Sus scrofa: one gene and its partners. The protein of the gene in region 1 purifies or fractionates together with the protein of each later gene. This does not show direct contact. Links are inferred from orthologs where the notes say so. Each region holds a gene or a part of one and is shown in the gene's direction. Other genes may lie near its edges.

What was found.
Region 2: the proteins of AMOT (region 1) and MPP7 purify together in Homo sapiens (affinity purification with mass spectrometry; 3 studies listed by BioGRID and IntAct, with this or other methods). This does not show direct contact. The link is inferred for Sus scrofa from reciprocal best matches to the Homo sapiens genes AMOT and MPP7.
Region 3: the proteins of AMOT (region 1) and MPP5 purify together in Homo sapiens (affinity purification with mass spectrometry; 6 studies listed by BioGRID and IntAct, counting the BioPlex papers as one, with this or other methods). This does not show direct contact. The link is inferred for Sus scrofa from reciprocal best matches to the Homo sapiens genes AMOT and PALS1.
Region 4: the proteins of AMOT (region 1) and LATS1 purify together in Homo sapiens (affinity purification with western blotting; 3 studies listed by BioGRID and IntAct, with this or other methods). This does not show direct contact. The link is inferred for Sus scrofa from reciprocal best matches to the Homo sapiens genes AMOT and LATS1.

The regions. Positions count from the first base shown.
Region 1 is NC_010461.5:92,644,739-92,649,158, reverse strand, and holds the start of AMOT (angiomotin), read left to right. Parts: upstream 1-1,296; 5' UTR 1,297-1,729; intron 1,730-1,792; exon of another isoform or gene 1,793-1,811; intron 1,812-2,762; exon of another isoform or gene 2,763-4,420.
Region 2 is NC_010452.4:39,536,009-39,539,961, reverse strand, and holds part of MPP7 (MAGUK p55 subfamily member 7), read left to right. Parts: exon of another isoform or gene 1-382; intron 383-667; coding exon 668-776; intron 777-859; exon of another isoform or gene 860-911; intron 912-1,507; exon of another isoform or gene 1,508-1,651; intron 1,652-2,366; coding exon 2,367-2,510; intron 2,511-3,953. UniProt on the Homo sapiens protein: Acts as an important adapter that promotes epithelial cell polarity and tight junction formation via its interaction with DLG1. Involved in the assembly of protein complexes at sites of cell-cell contact.
Region 3 is NC_010449.5:91,010,777-91,014,729, forward strand, and holds part of MPP5 (MAGUK p55 subfamily member 5), read left to right. Parts: intron 1-1,040; coding exon 1,041-1,118; intron 1,119-1,658; coding exon 1,659-1,805; intron 1,806-3,480; coding exon 3,481-3,642; intron 3,643-3,953. UniProt on the Homo sapiens protein: Plays a role in tight junction biogenesis and in the establishment of cell polarity in epithelial cells.
Region 4 is NC_010443.5:16,302,363-16,306,315, forward strand, and holds part of LATS1 (serine/threonine-protein kinase LATS1), read left to right. Parts: intron 1-1,362; coding exon 1,363-1,945; intron 1,946-3,953. UniProt on the Homo sapiens protein: Negative regulator of YAP1 in the Hippo signaling pathway that plays a pivotal role in organ size control and tumor suppression by restricting proliferation and promoting apoptosis.

The DNA.
Region 1 (4,420 bases):
GACACATCTTATAGCCTTTTATTTACAGATGGGAAAATTAAGGCTCATAGAAATTAAGGGACTTAAAGTCACACAACTAGCTGATAAGTGCTTGAGTTCGAAGTGAGTTTTTCCCTTAGTTCCAAATTCCAGGTTATTCAATTTCTTTGTGGTTTCGTTTCCTGGTTGTAAAATGGTTGATTTTCAGTGTCCTGAGCGGCTGTTCTCAACCCTGTGTTCTTTAAGCAATACCAATTTTTCGCAGCCTGGAAATGTGAACGCCACATTGACACTTCTCGTACTTTTTTTCCTCCTCTTGGGCTAAAGAATTAGGGAGGAAGAAAAGTTACCTATTCCCAGAGGGCCGAGCAGTGCCACAAAGGTGTACTAGAGCCGGCCAACACTCTATCGCACTCTCTTAGGAGACTGAGAGACCAAGCGTCTCATCTTTCTTTCCGCAGCAATAGCTGGGGAAGAACCGAGAGCTAGACAATAGCCGCTTGTTTAGTTTTATTAATTTTGAGGGCGGGTGGGACAAAAGGATCGGATCGACGACGCAAGTGACCAATCGCAAGCGAACCCTAGGCCAGGAGTCGCCAACCGGGAACTGCCAAAGAATGGTGGGTGGGACTTACTCCTCCGGGCCGGCTCCGCCCAAGCCGGCCCTTCCTGCCCGCCCAAGAGGCGGAGGCTCCGCAGAGCCCCGCCCCCGCCACCCTAGCGGCCAGCGCGGCCAGCCGCGGGAGCGGGGCGGGGACGTAGGGTGGCGCGGGGGAGGAAGGGGGTGGCTGGGGGAGCGGAGGAAGAAAGGAGGGTGTCTCGCATAGTTGCGACCTGGGTGGGGGCCTGCTGGTCATAGGAAGCAAGAGGGGAAGGAAAACGGAGGAGCGCTGCTCCTTCCTGCATTATTTTAAGCAAGCTTTGCCTGAAGCTGCTTTTCAGCGTTTCTATTATTTGTTTTTCTTCCTCCCGCTGTGGGGCGGGGAGCTGCACTGGTTCTCCCACGCGACTCCGCTGCGCAGTTGCCGTACACTATTATTGGAGTCTTTGCAAAACCCTTTCCTTCCTCCCAGTCAGTCCTTGTGTAGACTCTCAGGGGTACTGTAACCGAGTCGAGCCGGGTTAGTGGAAGGACCAGAGAGTGCAACCCCGGCTTTCGCCTAGCGGCCGACCCTGGCGTTCAATTGTTTGAAACTTCCCCGCCCCCTGGCTCCGCCTCTCCCCCCCCCAACCCCGTCCAAGCTACTCCCTTCCTTCTTTCCCCGCCCTCTACTCCGCCCCACTCCCTAGTCCACCTCCCCTTCCCCCCCCCTCTCCTGGGCGGTCCTTGCCGCTCACCGCAAGAAGAAAAGCCACCCATTCGTCCCCCTCCCCTACCTCCAATCCTTTGCCCAGGAGCTGCCTTGATCGCAGTCACGCCCCTTCCTTCCGAGGAGATTTCTGGCTGCCCAAGCTGGTAGACCCCCTGATTTATTCCTCCATCTCCGCTCCCTTTCGCCTCATCTTCTCTTAGTTCTCACCGCCTCCTCCACCCCCACCTCCAGTCTGTCTCGCCTCCGACCATCCGCTGCTCCACCCTCCGGCCCGGTATCCTGCTTGTCCACTGCCACCAAGGAGAGCCCGGACCGAGCAGCGAGGAGGGGAGCAGCCGGGAGTTGGGGCTTCCCTCCTGCCCATCCCTGGCCTCCGGCCTGGGACGGAAGCCTCTTGAGCGAGCAGAGTCGTCACCTTGTCTTCGTTGCTTACAGGGGTAGGAGACGCGTGGTTACTTTTCGCGGGGATCTGGGGCAGGAATCCATGGTGGCATGAACTTGATCGTAACCTCAGCATGAGTGAGTCAATCTAGATGCGTGTGGGGATGCCTGTGTGTTCTACTTTCTTTGCAGCTGGCCGCGAGTTTTCCTGGATGTGCAGCAAGTTAAATAGGTTAAAGAGTGTGCGCTCCTTTCCAGTCCCACAAAGATGCTAACGGGTACCACCACTCGATGGTACTTTTACTCTCTTGCTTCCTGGGGTCCTTGTAGGTCTCTAGGTAATTAAGCACAAAAGGAATTAAAGACCAGAGGGAACTTGAGGTCTAGTAGGATTTAACTCATCAGGAATGTCCAGGCTTATCTCAGATTGTTAGATGCTTACTCCTAAATGCTTGGGGTTGAGCTGGCGGCTCACACTCCCCTCCCTGGGGGCTGTGAATTCTTGAAGTTAGTCTGAAGTGATCTACAATGCTACACTCTTTTAGGTATATATATATATGTGTTTGTGTGTGTGTGTGTGTGTGTGTGTGTGTGTGTGTGGTGAGGAGGGGGTTGCCACTACAGATGTTAGTAACTAGTTTTATTGGATCTTGCAGGTGCTTGAGGGTCCCAAGCCTGGGTCACTATATGATGGTTCTTCAACAGCAAGATGGGCTTATCAGTGTATGAAAATGAAAAGAAGGCAAAAAGTGAGAGGGAAAGTGACAGTCTTTTATAGACTGAGCTTTCCCTGGTAAATTGCCGCTAATAATAATATAATAATAATTTGCAGCAAGGGACTAAATACAATTAAATGAGAGAGGGAAGGGACAGTTTGTGAGAAACAGCATTCCAATCTCTAGCATGCATTTTGGAAAGAATTTTCTGACACCTTGGAGTGTCTAATTTAGTTTTCCTTCCTCCTCCCTCTCCTCCCCCACCCCCATAAAGAGTGGAAGTTGGGAGGCAAATTAAAACTTTTAAAAATATAACCCTCTTCTCCCATTCAGAAAGGAAGATAATTAGTCACCATAATCTTCAATAATGGAGGGCTCAGGGTATTTAAGTCTCCTTGAACTAGGCTTTGTGAAAAGTCCTTTCTCAGGACAGCCTTTGTGAAGCTTTCTCAGTTAGACCTTTCAGCACCCTCATTTAGTAGCTAAGAATAGTTTGAAATACCATTTTGGAAGTGGGATAAATCTTTACCCATCTCCCATCTACCTCCTATTGAGTAAGCATGGCAAACTCATAAGAATGGTGGTGCTTGAAGACCTATTACCAAGAGGTCCTCAACGCATTGCTTATTTGGGAACATATTATTTACTTATATTTTTACCTAATTTCGTTGGTTGATTTTAATGGGGGAAAAGAAAGCAGGAAGGAGTGAAGGAATGCTACAGGGTGACAATTTTAAAGGCTATCATATTTCAGATCGGCTGGGAAGGAAAAGTTGGCCTGACCAAACTAGATTTTATAACTGGCCTGGGACATTTTAATAGCCAGGTGGTTGTAGAGTAGTTGCATCTATTTACAGATGATAACTCAGGTTCCAGCTATTCTGTATGGGTTTATCCGGTGTCATTTGCAGACACTTTCTGGCACTACCTCATACCTCATTTTAAGATACTTCTTTCTTTGGAAAAGTCTGTGGCTCCGTAAAATTGAAAGTGCTTTTTCTTACTTCATAGACAAGATACGAAGTAAACCTCTGACCATACTTATATAGAGAGTAACTTTTACGTGAGAAATTGCGGCTCTGTTTACCTATTTAAAAGATTTTCGAAGGGAATTTTAAAGTTCACATTCAATACTCTTTTGGACTTGGAAATTGAAATCTCATTTCCGGTTTATGAAATAGGATTTATAGACTAATGAACCCTCCCCAAGCATTTTGTGTGGTTGCTTTTTCTGAAGTTTTGTAAAGAACGAATCAGTCTCTTTCTAGAATGCCTTAAGAACAGTCTATTCAGAAAGCAGAGGGATGGATGCTATGACCTTGAGGTCCCATTGAGTGCCAGAATTCTAAGTGGGTACATCTGCTTCTGTGCCTCTCCTAAGAGCCCTCTCCCAGGGCCCGCGCCTTCTTTAAAAGGGTGTCTTTGTAATTAAGCAGCCTCTCTCCCCCATCCCCCTTTCTTCCTTTGATCCAGCTTTTTAAGGCCTTTTTTCCATTTGGAGACAAGAGGAGTTTCTCACACTCTCCTACTCCCCTCTTAAGATTTCTTTTCTTCCCCCCTCCAAAAAAAAGTGCCCCGAAGTTCTCAGGATGGTTAGAAATTGTTTTGTTCTATTGGGGTGGGGGTGTTACCAATGAAGAGGTGTTGAGGATATATTCCCTCTTGAGAAATGTTTGTGACCAGGTAGCCTCCTCCATGGAGACTGAGCATTTGGAATGCATGAGAACAGTCTATTCTTAGGGACTGTCTGGAAGAAATTGTCCTTTGCACCCATTAAGCCCAGCTTAAACCCACTGAAAGGAGTGGAGAGAGGTGTGTGTGGTCGTGGCTGAGCCTTTTAGGATGGTAAATGGGTAAATGTTCCCAAATCTCCTATTACATCACCTCTTTCCCCCATGGATTCAGTGGGTTTGGAGATCTGCTTGACAAGTTAATTAGCTTGGGACTAAACCAATTTGTTTTGAATTGTTCTCCATTGATTTCCTGTCCCCAGGAATTTTTGTTGGTGGTTTACTATGACGTGTTGTCTTT
Region 2 (3,953 bases), on another chromosome or scaffold:
TCTTTTCCACACTCCTCCCCTATTGGCTCTTCAAAAATTGAAATAATGTTCATCATTATGCTTGTACCATATCCTTTAGCTAGCCCTAAAGTCTCCTTTCCCCAGGTTTTCCATTTGCTTAAGCATGACTATTACAGGGTATCAGGGAGCAATATGTGTTTTAATGCAGGATTGTGGGATTTTATTGAAACATCAAAATGCCTTTTTTTTTGCATTTGGTGCAGCGATTGTGTTTTTATAGCACGTAATCTGCTGCTCTGGTTCCATTAGCCACCAACCAACTCCTCGAGTTCTAAAGCTGAGCTTGGTTATTTTTTCATGTGCAGTGAAATTTCAGTAGTTTCTATTGTTCAGCTTATTCACTGTTTTATTGCACGGCATTCTGAAAAAGAGGTGATGGAAGACATTAGAGTACTGCTGGACTAAAGTACTTTTTTCTGCTTAAGTGTAATACAAGCAAGTGTTACTGATTTGAAAATGTAAAATAGAAGGTTTTTTTTTTTGAAATTGACATTCTGGAGTACTTGGACTGATTTATTTTGTTTAAAGCAGTTAAAAATTAGATGTTCAAAAAACATACTTCATGTATATGCATTATGCCTTGCCATACATATATATACACATATATATGTATATAAAATTTACAAATGATTCTGATTTTCTACAGGTTTATTGAATATGGCGAATATAAAAACAATTATTATGGCACAAGTATAGACTCGGTTCGGTCTGTCCTAGCTAAGAACAAAGTTTGCTTGCTGGATGTTCAGCCTCACGTAAGTGAACAATGAACTATTCAACACCCTTCTGGGCCCACATTTGAGCCGTTCAGTATGGGGTAAATCTGAAATCTACTCACTTTAGACTTTCCTAAGGCAACAAAAGCATTTAGATGTAATTTAGGAAGTCTGCTGAAAAGAAAAAAAAAAAAAAGACTATTATTATTAGAAAGAGGGGTCAGGGAAGCCTTGAGATTTTTATTTGTAGGTCTTGTTTAGATTCGATGTTTGCCAAGTATAGTGACTCTTAGATATTTCTTCCATGTATTTTGTATTTAAAAAATATGTGTATAATGTATTCGTCGGTATGCATTATTCTCAGAGTTCCTTGGTGCATCTGCACTGAATGGAAGTTCCTGGGCGAAGTGGTCCAATCGGAGCTGCAGCTGCCAGCCCACGCCACAACCCCAGCAACCCCAGATCCAAGCTGCACCTGCAACCTACACCACAGCCTGCAGCAACACTGGATCTTACCCAGAGTGAGGCCAGGGATCACCCCCGCACCCTCACAGATCCTAGTTGGGTTCTTAACCTGCTGAGCCACCATGGGAACTCCTCGGTGTTTAACAGTGGACATTTGGGCTCTTGGTTCTGTTTCACTGATTTTGGTTCTGTAACTATCCTAGAAGAGCAACCCTTGGCAAGAGCCCAGGCATCTCCCAGGAACTGTCCCGTGTGACATCTTAGCGCAGCTGTTGGGTAGAGCTGGCAGCCCCCTGGGAACTCACAGACATTGGATGTAGTGCCAGTGGATGAAACGATCCATTTCCTGGTCCCCCAGTAGAAACCCAGCCCACAGCATTTTCCTGGTTACCCACAGGGCGTGTTGAGGTCCTTCGTGAAAAGCAGGAAGCTTGCCCTTTAAGGGGCCCCTAAAGGGTAGAATGAAAGAAAAGGGGAGACCTCAGCTGAGATTAGGAAGAGGCTGAAATGGGACAGTTGGGAGACTTCCATGGAAAGAAAGTTACTTAACTCATAGCATCTTTTGGGTATTAGATATAAAACCAAGTTTCATGTTATTTTTAGCTGCTTCTGTTCAGTATTAATTATGGCATATGTCAAAGCATTTTTAAAGGCAAGCTGTATTCTCCATCTTTTCAGAGGGGTTTATTACATTTAATTGTCAACAACTGATATGAATTGAATTGAATGATAATATATTGAAAGACCTACTAATTTTCATTAGGAAATAATGTTAACGAATTTTCTCCCTACAAGGAAAATTCAGTTTTATTATAAAAGTTCACTCCTGGAGTTCCCGTCGCGGCGCAGTGGTTAATGAATCCGACTAGGAACCATGAGGTTGCAGGTTCAATCCCTGCCCTTCCTTGCTTAGTGGGTTAAGGATCTAGTATTTCCGTGACCTGCAGTGTGGGTTGCAGACACGGCTCGGATCCCGAGTTGCTGTGGCTCTGGTGTAGGCTGGTGGCTACAGCTCTGATTCAACCCCTAGCCTGGGAACCTCCATATGCCATGGGAGCGGCTCAAGAAAAAGGCAAAAAGACAAAAAAAAAAAAAAAAAAAAAAAAAAAAAATTCACTCCTGAATTATGTAGAACTATGACAAAATTTATTTTCTTCCTTGCAGACAGTAAAGCACTTAAGGACACTAGAATTTAAGCCCTATGTGATATTTATAAAACCACCATCAATAGAGCGTTTGAGGGAGACAAGAAAAAATGCAAAGATTATTTCAAGCAGAGATGATCAAGGTGCTGCAAAACCCTTTACAGTAAGTATGATGCTGCTTTGCGGAACATGCATAAGCAGCACTTAAAATCCTGTATGCAGGAGGGACTACCTTGGGAAGACTACACTAGATGAAGTTGTGATCCAAACATCCATGCAAGATAGACTTGTATTTAGGTACATACATTCTGGAAGTAATTGCTTTTTGTGCTTCTGTGAATGGATCTTCATATTACATTGACTCAAAACCATTTCGTATGCTATTGCACATACTTATAAGAGATTTGTAGGCACACGTAAAAATCAGACCACTGAGTTTTCAACTAGCCTTCTTTTTTAAATTTTATTGAAATATAGTTGATTTACAGTGTTGTGTTAATTTATGCTATACACCAAAATGATCAGTTGTGTATAGATATATTTTTTCATATTCTCTTCCGTTATGGTTTATCACCGGATATTGACTGTAGTTTCTTGTGCTCTACAGTAGGACCGTGTTGTTTATGCATTGTATATATACAGGTTTGCATCTGCTAAGCCCAAACTCCCAAGCCACCCCCACATCCCTCAACCATAAGGCTGTTCTCTAAGTGTGTTTCTGTTTTGTAGATTTGTTCATTTGTACCATATTTTAGATTCCACATAAAAGTGATATCATATGGTACTTGTCTCTTTCTAACTTCACTTTGTGTGATAATCTCTAGGTCTATCCATGTTGCTACAAATGGTACTGTTTTGTTCCTTTTTATGGTCAACTAGGCTTATTATTATTACTACTACTACTATTTCTTCTTTTTTAGCCATACTGGCGACATGTGGAAGTTCCTGGGCCAGTAATTGAATCTGAGCCCCAGCAATGCCCAGTCCTGCACCCACTGTACTGGGCTGGGGATCAAACCTGTGCCTCCACAGCAACCCAGCTGCTGCAGTTGGATTCAGCTAGCTTTATTTTTAAAGGGAAAAACACCAAAGTTAGTTCCTATCACTCATTAATAGTCTAGATGAAAAATTTAGTAATTTTCCCTTTTGTCTCCTTGCACCAACTTCGTATTTAGCATAGTAAAAGAAAAACCATCATTTTCAGTTGGTGTAAGGCAAGTAGACTTGTATTATTCAATAATGATATTTGAAGTTAGTTAGAAATGGCAGCTGGGATACATCAGGGACTAGAATGACTTCTGGCAAGGCCTTTCATTGTTTTTTGTTTTTAACATGAAGATAATTTGTTCTACTTTGGGATTAAAAATAAGAAGCAAAGAAATGTAATGTCAAGAGCTCCTTTTCCCCTCCCACTCTTAATGAATGACTCTTTAACCATAGTCTATATTAATGTGTAAATTATGTGGCCACCACATAGATTATGTTTTTAATTCCCAGTATTTGAGAAGTATCTGTTTTCTACAGTTTTGACAAAGTACAACCATCCTGAGTAGATACTGTTATGATGTTAATTACTCAGGAACATCATATGTGAGTTGACATCATA
Region 3 (3,953 bases), on another chromosome or scaffold:
TATTAAAGAGACAGTAGTTATGTAAACCAGTGTATATGACTCTACTTAACCAAGTAGAGTCCAGTCCAATTTATGAACATTAATATAGAAATCTTAAAATATGAATAACTCACATCTAGAAATATGTTAAAGTAATAGTTTACTGTGTTATATAGTGTGCTAAGCAGTTTATGTGGATTATGTCAGTCTTAAGAACCTTCTGTGGCAGGTGAGAAAGAACCATTCTATAGGTGAAGAAGCATGGGCTTAAAAAAAATTCATTATAATCAAGTGGAGTTTATCCTAGGAATGCAAGAATTGCTTGACTTCAGGAAATGTTTTAATTTGATGCACTATAGTATGGTGGCTGTTCATTACTCTGATATAAATTTATCTTGTTGGTCTGTAACTCTTTAAAATGTTACCTCTGATTTAAAATATAGTTACATAAATATGATTTAAAAACTATAAAATAGCAACATAACCATTAGAACAGTCTTTCCCTTATGTAATCATTGTTAGTCTGTTTTGTAGTATGTTTGCAGAAATCATCAAGAAGGAAATACCTCATTCATAGGAATAAATAAAGAATGCTATTGTCAACCATGGTAACAAGATTGAAAACTGTGAGAAAGAAATACATTTTTTAGGAGTTCCCATTGTGGCGTAGCAGAAACGAATCTGACTAGGAACCATGAGGTTTCAGGTTCAATCCCTAGCCTCGCTCCATGGTTAAGAATGCAGCGTTGCTGTGAGCTGTGGTGTAGGTTGCAGATGCGGCTCAGATCTGGTGTGGCTGTGGTGTAGGCCAGCAGCTGTACCTTCAATTAGATCCCTTGCCTGGGAACCTCCATATGCCTCAAGTGTGGCCCTAAAAAGCCAAAAAAAAAAAAAACCCAACCTTTTTTTAAAAAATTATAATTCTCTTTAGTGTTTTTCTTTCTTACAAGTAGTTTTTAGGATTTTAAATTGTACCTTAAAAAAAAAACAAACAAAAAAAACCTATGTAGATGCTGGTGATAATTTCTCTTAACCTAGGAAGAATCATCTTTGTTCCTTAGGTACAAACTGTTTTGAAGCCAGTCCACCAGAAGGAAGGACAAGAATTAACTGCTTTGCTGAATGCACCGCATATTCAGGTAGACAATGGACAAAGAATTATATATGTAGTTTTTCCAGCATTTTAAACTCAGTTCAAATCAAAGTCTCTTGGGCTGAAAGAGACCTCAGATATTAAGTAGCCTGTTTTGTCTTCAACTCCCATCACATAATAATTATTGTTGGATTATGTTTTTTTCAAATTTAAAATTAACCACATAATTTTTGAAACAACTTTTTATTCTTTACAAATTCCTCCCTTTTTTGGTTATATTGTCCATAAATTTTATCTCTGATGTTGGACCCCAAGGTGATTTTGTTTTTATGAAGTTTAATAATCATTTTAGATTTTCGTAACTTATCTCAAAGTATTCCCTATTGTACTTAACACATCTTTAGTTATTATTAGCCATAAAAGATACAGGGTTGTACTTGACTTGGAAAGTTTGGGAACAGATCTGAATATATAATTAGCACTTCTTTTAAAGGTTTGATGAGCAGGATACTATTACATGATTAGTTTGAAATTTTGTACAGAAATCATGCTGTTACTTTAAATGCTGTGGGTTTCTTTGAAACAGGCACTTTTACTGGCCCATGATAAGGTTGCTGAGCAGGAAATGCAGCTAGAGCCCATTGCAGATGAGAGAGTTTATGAAAGCATTGGCCAGTATGGAGGAGAAACTGTAAAAATAGTTCGTATAGAAAAGGCTCGAGATATTCCGTTGGTAAGTGTTCCACATCTCTGATATGAGATCCTTTCCACGGGTCTACACAAGGATCTTGGTGTATGTCAGATATTGAAGACCCTTGACATTTCTGGTAGTTTTTTCCTTTTGAGGCTAATTTGTTGGAATTCTTTTGTGTTCTTGCTCAAACTCCTTATTCAGCTGAGAAAAATTTGTTCATCTTTTCTCACCCATAATTTGATGCAAATAATAGCTTGTGCAGTGATTGTTGAACAAAGAAAGCGCAGATAATCTGCTTCATTATTCTCTCAGCTTAAAAAACAAAAGACAACAGTTGGAGATTCTGATCTTTTCATTCAGTGCAATTACTTACATACTTCACATAGATTTAGTATGCTTTGTCTAATGTTAATATTTTATATTTTTTGTATATAAAACTTTTTTTCTCTTAGTCTACTATCATTGCCTTTTCTTTTATTTTCAGAAAAATATTCTTGAATCCTAAGGTCTCAAATTGTCTTGTGGTACATGAAATAGGGACTGTATTCTATTAAAGGGCAGTTTATGTAACTAGGTTTTTTTCCCCACGAGAAGAAAGAAATTGGGGAAATTATGACAAAATTTTAAAATAAAATTTAGGAAAAAAGTGTTAGAAACTACTTTCAAGCTTTATTCTGTATTTCATATTTCCATTTTTTGAGGGTGTAAATTTCAATTTTACTTCCAACTTGTGTAATAAATGTTAATGTTTAATACTTTTTTTTTTTTTTTTTTTTGTCTTTTTGCTATTTCTTGGGCCGCTCCCGCGGCATATGGAGGTTCCCAGGCTAGGGGTCCAATCGGAGCTGTAGCCACTGGCCTACCCCAGAGCCACAGCAACGCAGGATCCGAGCCGCGTCTGCGACCTACCCCACAGCTCACGGCAACGCCGGATCGTTAACCCACTGAGCAAGGGCAGGGACCAAACCCGCAACCTCATGGTTCCTAGTCGGATTCGTTAATCACTGCGCCACGACGGGAACTCCTAATACATTTTAATGTGAATTGGAGACAGCTATAATATTTAACATTTTGATAATTAACCAGTATTCATCGCTTCATCATATATTGAATTTAAAAAGACTTACAAGTCATGTTAACTAATTATATAACCATTGGAATAGCATCCAGCATATAGAGAACAAATTTGATTATAGGCTTTCACATTGTTTTTGAGCAAGTGCATTTTTATACTGTTGTATGCTTGAAAAGCCTGATTTTAGAATTTTAATGAGTAGAACACTTCTGAAGCAGAAAATGTGGGGGAAACAATCAGCTTTCAATTGCTGTAACTACTTTAGCTGTGTAAATAAATTTTTTCTTGCTTGGCATATGCACACTGAGGTATATGGAATGATTGGCTAACAGAGACCTGCTGTGTAGCACAGAAAACTCTACGTAGTATTCTGTGATAAACTATGTGGGAGAAGAACCTGAAAGAGAATAGAGGTGTTTACATGTATAACTGAATCTACTTTGTTGTACAGCAGAAATTATCACAACATTGTAATCAACTATACTTCAATAAAACTTTTAACAGTAAAAAATAATTTTTTTTCTCATGATAACTGAAGGCTAGTATTGTTGAATTGAAAAAAATAAGAATTTTAAAATGAGGAAATGTTTAACCAAAACATCGCATTTTTATTTTAAAATTGGATATTGAATTTTTTAGGGTGCTACAGTTCGTAATGAAATGGATTCTGTCATCATTAGTCGGATAGTTAAAGGAGGTGCTGCAGAGAAAAGTGGCCTGTTGCATGAAGGAGATGAAGTTCTAGAGATTAATGGCATTGAAATTCGGGGGAAAGACGTCAATGAGGTTTTTGACTTACTGGTAAGCTGACGTGGGTAGAAGAATAATTGATAGGTTCTCAAAAGCTGTTTTCTTTGTTATTAGACTTCAGAATAAAATATTTTCAGAGCACTTAAAAATAACTGTTAATATCTCTATATGGGAGTCTCCTGGTGGCTCAGCATGTTAAGGATCTGGTATTATCACTGCTGTGGCTCGGGTCACTGTGGTGGCTCAGGTGGCATGGGTTTGATCCCTGGCCTGGGAACTTCCATGTGCCATAGGCACAGCCAAAAAAAAAAAAAAAAATCTCTATATAGTTTCTAGGATAATTTTCACATAATGTAATCGAT
Region 4 (3,953 bases), on another chromosome or scaffold:
CCCGAATCCTCATGGATACTAGTTGGGTTCAAAACCTGCTGAGCCACAACGGGAACTTCTGAGAGCCATTCTCGCAAAATAATTTTTCTAAATCTGATTTCACAGTGTAGTTATTCCTGCTATAAGTTGAATTTTGTTAGATGAGAAATACCATGATTACCTATATAACTGATCCGCATTTTAGCTCTTAGGATTTCTTACTAAGGTCTTGTCTGTATGTATTTTCTTAGTTTATTTTTCCTTTTTCCTCTTCACTTTCACTAATAGCTGATTTATACTTTTATGGTGTTGGAAGCTTTGCTGACTTCTGTAGCCTCCATTACTGTGTAGGCAAGTAAGATTTTAAGAGAAACAGTTCTATACTAAGTCTGGCATGCCACCTTTCTTAAAAGATTTTGCATGCAAATGTGCATCCTAACAGAAGCATGAGGTTGCTATATTTTAATTAGTTTTGCATTTCTAGAATTATACTCTACCTTTCAAATCAAATTCTTTTTCTATTTAAATCCTTAAATTATTTATTAACTAGTCAAAAATAAACCGTTCCTTCCATCTAAATTTAGGTATTCCATATGTACTTAGAATTTGGTTTTTTGTTAATCTTCATAAGTCACACTGACTATTCTTTGAAGTGTTGCAGAATATCTAACAGATACCTTGTAATCAAACAAGTTGTCCCTTTTAACTAAGACATGACATACCCTTTGCATTTTGCGTTAGTGGTGGCTGTGAGTCCTACCCTTATTACCCCGATGCCCTGAGAGTTACAAAAGGAAAGACTGACTATTTAATGAGGGTTTAGGTTAGAGAAGACATTTCTTTTGTTCTTAATACATCAGTATTTTAGAATAAATGAGCCTGGAGTGGAAGAATTTCTTTTCATGAAGGATAAAATTAATTCATTTACTATTCATTCCAAGATAAGGACAATTTATACTCTGTAAGGGACTGTGTACTCCTAGGCATTCCACAAAGAGAAGCATATGATGAAGGCAATCTAATTATGTAGTTTGGGTTGAATATGCATGGAGAGAGAGATGAGGGTGCATGTTAACATGTTTGGTTATTGCACTGGGAGCATTTTTTTGAGTGCATTAGAGAGGAGTAGAAAGCTGACCATTGATGTCTTCTTGCTGTCCACAGCAGACTGCATATATAACTCACTTTGTATATCCTGTTAACTATCTCTTAGGCTGCACTTTTGATAATTTTCTCTGAAATATATTCTAGATTTCTAACATGCTTTATTAAAAATTATTATGCATTTAACCTTTAAATATATGCCTGAATTTTTTCCAAGCGATTTCTTAATACTCAGTATAGAAGATAATTCCTCATTTAATATTTAGTTTATTTGCCTAGGTTGGATTATCTCAAGATGCCCAAGATCAAATGAGAAAGATGCTTTGCCAAAAAGAGTCTAATTACATCCGTCTTAAAAGGGCTAAAATGGACAAGTCTATGTTTGTGAAGATAAAGACATTAGGAATAGGAGCATTTGGTGAAGTCTGTCTAGCAAGAAAAGTAGATACTAAGGCTTTGTATGCAACAAAAACTCTTCGAAAGAAAGATGTTCTGCTTCGAAATCAAGTTGCTCATGTTAAAGCTGAGAGAGATATCCTGGCCGAAGCTGACAACGAATGGGTAGTTCGTCTTTACTATTCATTCCAAGATAAGGACAATTTATACTTTGTAATGGACTATATTCCTGGGGGTGATATGATGAGCCTATTAATTAGAATGGGCATCTTTCCAGAAAATCTGGCACGGTTCTACATAGCAGAACTTACCTGTGCAGTTGAAAGTGTTCATAAAATGGGTTTTATTCATAGAGATATTAAACCTGATAACATTTTGATTGATCGTGATGGTCACATTAAATTGACTGACTTCGGCCTCTGCACTGGCTTCAGATGGACACATGATTCTAAGTACTATCAGAGTGGTGAGTAAAATCATAAAATTTGTACATATTTATACAGTTTATTAATGCAGCAACATATAAAATGGTATTATCACTGGATAGAAGCCAGAAGTCTTGGGTCAGGTCTCAACTCTGTTGGATAAATGTGGGTGAATCCCTTAGACACTTAAGACTTACAAAATGAATGTTAGGATTAATTATATCTAAATATCATTAGCATTTTTGTTAACCCCTTTACATTTTGTTAATTTGAAATGTTAACATTCAAATTTTAACAATATTTTGAAAATAATTTTTATTTATTTATTTATTTATTTTTACCTTTTTAGGGCTGCACCTGCGGCATATGGAGGTTCACAGGCTAGAGGTCGAATTGGAGCTGTAGCTTCTAGCCTACCCCAGAGCCACAGCAACACCAGATCTAAGCCGCGTCTGTGACCTACACCACAGCTCATGGCTACACCAGATCCTTAACCCACTGAGCAAGGCCAGTTATCAAACCCACAACCTCATGGTTCCTGTCGGATTTGTTTCTGCTGCACCAGGACGGGAACTCCTGAAAGTAATTTTTATTTTATTTATTTATTTATTTGTTTGTTTGTTTTATCTTTTCTAGGGCTGCTTCCCGCGGCATATGGAGGTTGCCAGGGTAGGGATCTAATCGGAGCTGTAGCCTCTGGCCGATGCCAGAGCCACAGCAAAGCTGGATCCGAGCCGCGTCTGCGACCTACACCACGGCTCACAGCAACGCTAGATCCTTGACCCACTGAGCAAAGCCAGAAGTCGAACCCGAAACCTCATGGTTCCTAGTAGGATTTGTTAACCACTGTGCCACGACAGGAACTCCTGAAAGTAATTTTTAAACGAAGCTCCATACCCATCATTCAGCTGAAGATCTAGATTATTAGTACTTTTGAAGACCCTGAAAAATCATTTTCTTCTACAGAGGTAACCTTTATTTCAGGGCTTTATAATCACTTCTTTTCTCTATACTTTCACCACATATGTATATACATCCCTAAACAATGTATTTCATGTTGCCTACTCTTCAAGCTTTATTTAAGTGTAATCATTCCATATGTATTCATCTATGTTGACTTCTTTTATTTGAGAGTCCTCTGTGTTCCTGCATGTAGCATTTATTTTCATAGCTATTTAGGATTCCATTGTATGATTTACACAACTTGCTTAACTTTAACATTTTATGTACATGATTGTGGTTAATCCTCACAACGTCACTGTAAGGCAGAATGAAGAAACTGAGGCTTAGAATAAGAAACTTGCCCACAGTCAGAAAATAAGTATAAGGGCTAGGCTTTGAACCCAGGTTTGTCTGATGATAGGGCCCACGTTATTTCTACTATATCACGTTGCCTCACAAGATCCCTCCAAGCACTAATGGAAGTCCATCTAACATTTGCTGAATGCTCACTATGACTAGGTGCTTTACATATAGGCTAATTTAATGCTCACAGAAGTCCTCTGAGGTAAATATTATTGACCTCCTGTGTTTCTGCAAACGCAAGTGGATTGAACTGCTTAGTAGTTCTAAGTAAAAAGAACTGACGTTCCTGAACCTACTGTAATGTTCAGTTTAACATAATTTAATCTCTCCCTAGAGTCACCTGAATTACTTTGAGTTCATCTTAAAAATATGATTCTCAGGCTCTATTTCAGTCTTCTGCTTGAAAATCTTCACTGGAGTGTAGAAATTGTATTTTTACCAAACATCCCAGATGATTATTACAATTAGGTTAATTTCAGATATTCTTCTCCTAGGTGATTTCATCTGGTTATGGCTTTAATTACTGTTGTTGCTACATTGATGACTTGAAAATCTCTCTTCAGAAGTTGCCTCTCCCTCTCCCAAGGATTCTTAATAGGCCTTTCACACTTAACATTGCCAACAAACAACTCTTAATTTCTCCCCCTCCGTATTTGTTCCTCCTCCCTTTTAATAAATTGTACTACCACCACCCACCTAGATATCTTGATTCTCTTTTTTTACCTGCTTACTCTACCTCTAAAT